Lonchura striata: one gene and its partner. The protein of the gene in region 2 purifies or fractionates together with the protein of the main gene of each other region. This does not show direct contact. Links are inferred from orthologs where the notes say so. Each region holds a gene or a part of one and is shown on either strand. Other genes may lie near its edges.

Region 1 (3,747 bases), about 2.5 Mb from region 2:
CGCTACCCCCTGTCCCCCGTGTCCCCTCAGGGGTCTGTTTGCTGTCCCCATGTCCCCCAGAATCGTCGCTGTCCCCGTGTCTCCTGAGGGATCCCTGTTCGCTGTCCCCGTGCCCCCCGTGTCCTCTCAGGGGTCCCTGTTCGCTGTGCCCATGTCCCCTCAGGGGTCCCTGTTCGCTGTGCCCATGTCCTCTCAGGGGTTCCTGTTCGCTGCCCCCATGTCCCCTCAGGGGTCCCTGTTCGCTGTCCCCATGTCCTCTCAGGGGTTCCTGTTCGCTGCCCCCATGTCCCCTCAGGGGTCCCTGTTCGCTGCCCCCATGTCCCCTCAGGGGTCCCTGTTCGCTGTCTCCGTGCCCCCCGTGGGGTCCCTGTTGGCTGCCCCCATATCCCCTCACCAGCCTCTGTTTCCCCCTCTCCCCCGCGTCCCCCTCTTCCCCCCTCACGGCGCCCCAGCCCCGCCCCGCTCCCCCACCGCGCACGCGCGCGCTCCCGCCGCCGCCCGCCCTCCCCCGCGCAGGCGCAGTGCGCGCCCCCGGCGGTGCGGGCGGGCGGGGGCCGGGGCGCGGCGCGCGCACGTCACGGCGTCGGGCGCGTCCCAGGGAGCCGCGCGCGGCGCCGGCCCTGCCCCCAGCGCGCCCCGCGTTCGGCCCGAGCGGAGCGGAGCGGAGCGCTGGGCTCGCCCGCTCCCCCCGGCCCCCCGCGCCGCCCCCGCCCGGCGGGGAGCGAACATGCTCCTCCGGCTCCCCGAGGCCGCCGCCGCCGGCGAGTGAGGAGCCGCCGCCGCCGCCGCCCCGGCCCGGCCCGGCCCCGCCGCCCGCCAGCCCCGGCCGCAGCCGCAGCCGCCCCGCTTCGCCCAGGCAATGACAGCGGCTCCGGCCCCGTCCCCGCAGCAGATCAGGGACCGGCTGCTGCAGGCCATCGACCCGCAGAGCAACGTGAGTACGGGCCCCGCGGGCCCCCGCCGCTCCGGGCCGACCCCCGCCCGGCGCTCCCGCCGCGACGCCCTTCTCCCCCTCCCGGGGCCTCCGGGGCTCCCTCCGGGGCCGCCCCGGCTGCACCGGAGCCTCCGCTGCCGGCGGCGGCGCGGGGCTCCCGGCGCGCCGTCCGCCCGGGGTCCCGCAGCCGGCGGCGCCTCCCGCCCGCGCCCCCCGGGCCGGCAGCGCAGGGCCGCCCCGCTGGGGGCTCCGGGGGCCGCTCCCCGCCCGCCCGGCGCCGCGGCCGCCCCCGCCCCGCCGCCGCTCGGCGCCCCGGGCCCGGCCGGTGCTGCCCGGCCATGCGGCGGGCGGCCCGGCCGCCTCCCCACGCCAGGCCGCGGCTCGGGCGCGGCCTGCAGGGGGCTCTGGGCCGGCCCCGCCGCCGCTCGCCGGGACCTTCCGGGGCGCCCACCTGTTCCTCGGGCCCTGCGGCCGCTCCGGCCGCGGCCGGCGGCACCCCGGGCTGCGGGGACGCCAGGAGGGCTCCGGCCGTGGCTGCGGGGCTCTGGAGCTGCTCCAGCACCGAGCAGCCTCGGTCTTCGCTTTTATCCCTTCCTGCAGCGCCGTAATGAGCTTATGTGCTCCTTGGGATGTGGTGTAAGCACAGAAGTCAGCGTGTATTTTACCTGTAAGTGGCCTTAAGTGGCGGTTATCCAAAGGATCATTTGCTCCTTTTAAGGGTTTTTTGGCTCATCCAAGCAGTTCTCCGCTTAGGTGTTTATTACTGTGAGAGGACTGCAGGGCCCTCAATCTGTCCAATTTTTGAATCTTAGATCAACACTCACCTCCACAGGATGCCAAGGTGGGTCTGGCTTGGCCATCTGCAGTTTGTGGGAGCAGCCTCTGGCTCATCAGGCTGAATGTGTGCGTGTTATTTTAGGGGCTGGGGTGTGTGAAATGGTGCTTTGGTTCTATTAAAGTCGTACCTGCTCCTGTCTGAACAAGTACTTTTTTTGTGATAGACATGCATCAAAGTCCTAAAGTAGCTAATAAAGTTATTGTCATTTGGAACCCTCCCGGAGCCTGTGTCATGGGGACTGAAGAAAAACCACTCCGGCCTTGTCGGTTCTGTAGAGCCCCCTGGGCTGGGCATCTGTGGGGAGCTGCAGTGTTGCACATTGGAGTAACAGTAACAATCGTGGCGGTAATTGTGGGCTGTTAAATGTCAGGGTTGTCTGAGTTTGCAGTACTTTAACGTGGATCTTGCTGAAATGTCAGTTAGTACACTTCATGAATCCTGTGTGCACTGAGCTCTCTGTGGCTGCAGATTGTTCACTCTACGTGAGACTGAGTGTCAACCTACTTTAATAAAATTCTAGCAGATCTGTGGTGTCTTTTGACTTCAGAACTGTCAGCTGCAGTGGTTACCCTAATTCTGGTGTTACTTTGTCAGACACTGTGGCTGTGCAGAACTAAACAGCCAGAAAGTCAATTTGGTGTTGGATACTCTTCCCTTTCTCCACATGCTGATGTTTCAGGATGCTGTTGTGAGAGGACTCCAAATAACCAGGCAGCTCCCTGCAAGGGGAGGCCAGAGCTCCCAACAGGTCAGTAGCCCCTTAAGTTTAGGAGTGATGTATGTTAAATTTTAATTCTACATACTTGATACTTATCCAGGGCAATAATTGGTGGCAGAAAAATCAGCCTATTGTTCCAAAGTGCCTGTAGGCAGGGTCTGTCTTCCAGTTTAACCTTTTCTTGGAGGAGAGCAGAGGTGGTGTAGCTGAGGTTCATTGTGCAGGCTGAGAACTCAGACTCGTGGCTCCAAAGCACATGGAATATGTGGCGGTGTTGGTTGTTCACTACCTGGCACATCACTGGCACAGAGGGAAGAAAAACTTACATTTTGAACACACTTAAAAAACAGATTTTGAGTTTAATCACACTTGGACACCATGGTGAAAGTACAAGAAGCTGCTCTGCTGTTTTCCTGCTGGGAGAGTCAGTGCAGCAATGAGCTTCTGTGCCTGCAGGGACTCATGGAAAGCTCCAGCTACTTTCTGCTGGCTCTTAGAATCTTCTCCTGACAGAACTACTTGTATTCAAACCTACAGCATACATTGTTGTCACTGACTTCCTCATTTACCAAGAAGGTCAAGCTTTGAGGCCTAGATTTAATTCAGACTTTTCAGTGTGTGTGTTTCTGGAGAGGCTGAAAGCTGCACCAGTAGTGTCAGGTGGACAAAACCAGTCCAGTTCTATGGGGCTGAGGAGGGAGGAGATGGTTGGTTCTTCATGGTGCTTTACTGTAGGATCTGTAAATTTAAGCTTCACTTAAATTCCCTGACACATCCCCTAACACAATCTGCCATTGTGGATATTTATTCTTGAGTGGTTACTTGGATCATGGTTGACTCACAGGTCATGCCTTAAATGGGGGGAAAAAAAAAGGACATAAGTTTCTCTACCTCTGTTGGGTTGAACTGGTCAAAATAATTGTTTCCCCAAGCTTGCAGAACCTGCTGGCCTCGGGAAATCATCTCGTGTGCTGATTGTTCATCTCCAGCTGCTCCATAAAGCCCTGCTGACTCGGGAGCAATATTGAATTTACACATGTTTAGCACTTGAACCTCCTCTAGTAATTGCTGCAGAATATATTTATAACTTAGTTTCTCACATTTAGAGGTTACCTGTGTAAATTCTGAACTATTTCAAAGGAGACCTATAAGAAATAAGCTATTTTTAAAGGAACTTACATCATCCTAGAAGCCACCCGGGATGTCTGGTATTGTGTCTTCATTTATTCAGCCTTTTCTCCTCCAGGAAACATATGG
Region 2 (3,747 bases):
ATGGCAGCGTGTGAACACCGGGGTCCCAAACCAGGGGACAGGGCAGGAGATCAGGGAAGGAATGAGGATGAGTCTGAACTGCAGCTTCCAAACTGCCCAGGGCAGCTCCTAAAGGCTCTGCAGAGCCCAGCCACGATGCAGAATCCTGGCAGGAAGAGATTCCAAACGCAATGAAAATGATGGGAACTTGCAGAGTCTCGAGGCTTTGCCACAGGGAGAGGCTGAGCAACGCTGCGGCACTGAGGGTACAAACCTTTATTTCAAACAAAAGCCCATAAAACAGGGAAGGAAAAGCCCTTCCCACTCATTTCCTCCCATGGCTGAGTCCTGGATGGGACTGAAGGGTCACCACGAAGTCCAAGATGTGGAATGAGGCCCAGTGACGGGGCTGCAGAGAGGGAAGAGGATTTGATTTCCTTGGCATTCCCTAAATTCAGGAATCTCCGAGCGTCCATGAACTGCTGCTGGGAGCCACCCAGCTCCTCACACCTGGAAGAGAAGGAGGGATGGGAATCACCTCCTGCCCCAGGTCCCTCTGAACACCCCAAATCCCAACGGGCACAGCCTGAGCAGAGGCACAGGTGGCAGGGGAGCCTTGCCCTGCTCTCCCCAACAGCTCCCTCCGTGAGCCATTTAAAACTCTGAGACATTTCCCTGGAAGCAGCTGCTTCACACTGACCTTGGAACAATCCCTGGCACTGCCCAAAGCCCCCCTGAGCTGAGGGTCCCCTCATCCTTACCCACTGTGTCACTGCACCAGTCTGTAGGTGATGTACCTGCCCGCCGTCTCGCTGGGCCTGATGATCTTCACTACCTGCAAGGCAGACACGGAGCTCACAACAGGAGGAGGAGGAGAAGGAGACACTTGTTCTGCTCCAAAATGCCCTCCAGGATCATCCCCTCCCTGTCCCACCACAGGAAGCTGCTGCCTCAGCCTGCTCCTCTCACCTGGCCACGCTTTATCCCGAAGTACCGGGCCACGGGGTCCCCAGCCTGGATCCTGGGCAGCTGGTTCTCCCTCAGCTTGCTGTGCTGGGAGTCAAGGAGAAGCTCTGGACTGCTGGCAGCTCACAAACCAGAAATGAACCGTGGCAGGAGGAGGGGTTTTCAGCCCGAATTTCATCACAGGATGGAGGGACAGCAAGGGGACACTCAAAGGATACTATCGGGCCAGCAGCTCCGTTACCTCCTCCTTTGTCATAACCACGTGCTCTGGCACCAGCTGCAAACACCAGAGAGACTGAGTGAGGTGAGGCAGCAAGTGTTTGGGAGGGGGAAAAGGACAAGTGTGTCCCTCAGCCCAGCCAGGGAGCAGGAGGAGGAGTCTGGGAGCAGCAGGAACGCAGCCAGCACGAGGGAGGGACCATCCTCCCACCGCTCACCTCGTGCTCCGTGATGTTGATGAGAAGCTCCTGCTGCAGGAACTGCTCCAGGATGTATTTGGGAGCCATGTCAACCAGGGACTGGAAGGAAAAAGCCCTTTTAGAGGTGGCTGGGGCAGCCCTGGCAGTAAAAAGACTTTTCAGAGGTGGCTCTGGCAGTGCTCAGAGCTGCTCCTGGGTAAGCCCCTGAGCTCCTGGAACAGGGAAACATCTCTTTTTCCCTCCCCCACCTCCTGACTGCCCGTGGGCCCTCAGCTGTGCCACTGCCACCAGGACCAGCTGCTCTGGATAAACACAGTTGGGTGCTAAAAAAGAACCTGTGCTCAGTACAACGGGTTCCAGCAAAAGCTTTTCTCTGGAGGCCAATTCAGGGCTTTCATTTACCCGCAGCAAGGCTAAGGAACAGACAAGGAAAACCTTCCCAGCTGCTGAGTGGGACACGGTGCTGTCCCCACAGACCTGCTTGGCCGAGGGGGTCATTCCCTGCTGCACCACGATCAGTGCCCGGGTGATGTTCTCCTCCTGCATGCGCTGGCAGTACATCTTGATGGTCTTGATGCCCACCTTGGGCTCCTCTGAGGAAAGAGCCAGAGCCGGGGTCACCAAGAGTCCGCGGCAGGAGGGCTCAGCCAGACCCGGGTCACCCCTGTGCTCCGAATCTCCCCTGAGGGCTCAGCCAGACCCGGGTCACCCCTGTGCTCCGAATCTCCCCTGGGGGCTCAGCCAGACCCGGGTCACCCCTGTGCTCTGAATGTCCCCTGAGGGCTCAGCCAGACCCGGGTCACCCCTGTGCTCTGAATCTCCCCTGCGGGCTCAGCCAGGCCCGGGCTCACCGGACCCGCCCGGGCGGGCGCTGCTCACCGGGGAAGAACACGAACATCTGGTCGGTGGGATCATCGTTGTGAGCCACCAGCACGGTCAGGTCGGTGCGACGGGGACGTCCCTCGCTGGGTTTGTCGCCGAACTGCGCCTTGAACTCCTCCAGCGTCTGATCCAGCTCGTCCTGGGTCACCAGGTACCCGCGGTCGTGGCAGAGCTGCGGGAGCAGCGCCGGCCTCAGCAACCGAGAACCGGCACTGCGAACCGGCCTCCGCGTCCCACACCTCCACCCTGCGGCCCCAGAGCGCCGCCGGAACTCCCCACCGCCAGGCTGGGCCCTCCCGGCGCCGCCGTTCCCGGACCTGCATGATGGTCTTGCGGATCTTCCACAGCCGGTACGTCTCCTCCTCGTCGTCCATCTTGCCCGCCGAGGCCCCCGCGGGCTGCCCGCGCTGCCGCCTACCCCCGCGCGCGCGGGGGGCCTCAGCCGCGGCGCCTCCTGGGAGATGTAGTCCACCGCCAGCTGCCCCCCTCCGCTGGCTCCGGAGGGAACAGAAATCTCTCTGCTGCTCTCAGCGTGGGTCTCTGGGTGGCTGCGGCTCTGTTCGGAACCCGCGGCCGGGTCGGGAGGGAATCGCCGCCCGGCAGCCGCGGCACCTGCTCCACACCCCGCCCTTTGCTCCGTCCTTGCCCCCCGCCCTCGTGGTCTGTCCCGATCAACACCCCTGCGGCCACCCCGCCCGCCCTGCCCTCCTATTGGTCAGCTTTCCATCCATCATCCCGCCGAGGCCGCCTCTATGCGTGCCGATTGGCTGATATGCCCGAAAGGGGCGGGGTTTGTGAGGGATGGGCTGGGCCAGCGCGGTGCGGGGCGTGCTGTGCTGCGCGCGGGCGGCGGCGGCGGCGGGAGCGGCGCTGGGACCAGGGCTGGGACCGGGACCGGTGCGGAGCATGGTGAGTGCGGGGGCCCGGGGGAGCGGCCGGGCCCGGGGGAGCGGCCGGGCCCGGGTACCGAGGCTCTGCCCGCCCGGGGAGCGGGGCTGGTCCGCCCGGGGACCGCGGCTGGCCCCGGGTCTCTCCCGCGGGCCGCCCGGGCGGGCGGCGGGGGCTCGGCCCGTTCCGGGACCGCGGCTCGGCTCCGAGGGTCCCCCGGGGGCAGCGGCGGTGGCGGGGCCGGCGCGGAGCTCCGCAGTGACGCGCCCGCCCCGCAGTGTGCCCAGGCGGATGACTGGCGCTCGGCCAAGGCTATCTACGACTTTCACGCCCTCGACATCGACGGCAACGACGTGTCCTTGGAAAAATATCGGTAGGACGGAGGGGCCGGGGCCGCGCCGGGCGAGGTTGAGCCACAGCGGCTCTTGCGTAACCCGCACGCCTCTCCTGAGAGGGTGAGGGACCTGTGCCCTGCGGGGAAGGGCAGCTCATCCCCCTCCTCTGCAGGGGAGACGTGTGTATCATCACCAACGTAGCCTCCAAGTGAGGCAAAACCGCCGTAAACTACACTCAGCTTGTCGACTTGCACGCCCGATACGCTGAGAGGGGTTTA

What was found.
Region 1: the proteins of POLR2E (region 2) and MED26 purify together in Homo sapiens (affinity purification with mass spectrometry; 3 studies listed by BioGRID and IntAct, with this or other methods). This does not show direct contact. The link is inferred for Lonchura striata from reciprocal best matches to the Homo sapiens genes POLR2E and MED26.

What each region holds. Positions count from the first base shown.
Region 1 is NC_134630.1:3,982,942-3,986,688, forward strand, and holds the start of MED26 (mediator of RNA polymerase II transcription subunit 26), read left to right. Parts: upstream 1-822; 5' UTR 823-859; coding exon 860-934; intron 935-3,747. UniProt on the Homo sapiens protein: Component of the Mediator complex, a coactivator involved in the regulated transcription of nearly all RNA polymerase II-dependent genes.
Region 2 is NC_134630.1:6,513,738-6,517,484, reverse strand, and holds POLR2E (DNA-directed RNA polymerases I, II, and III subunit RPABC1), read right to left. Parts: upstream 2,691-3,747; 5' UTR 2,621-2,690; coding exon 2,564-2,620; intron 2,419-2,563; coding exon 2,244-2,418; intron 1,958-2,243; coding exon 1,842-1,957; intron 1,464-1,841; coding exon 1,383-1,463; intron 1,223-1,382; coding exon 1,164-1,222; intron 1,028-1,163; coding exon 949-1,027; intron 815-948; coding exon 749-814; 3' UTR 741-748; intron 490-740; exon of another isoform or gene 389-489; 3' UTR 241-388; downstream 1-240. UniProt on the Homo sapiens protein: DNA-dependent RNA polymerase catalyzes the transcription of DNA into RNA using the four ribonucleoside triphosphates as substrates.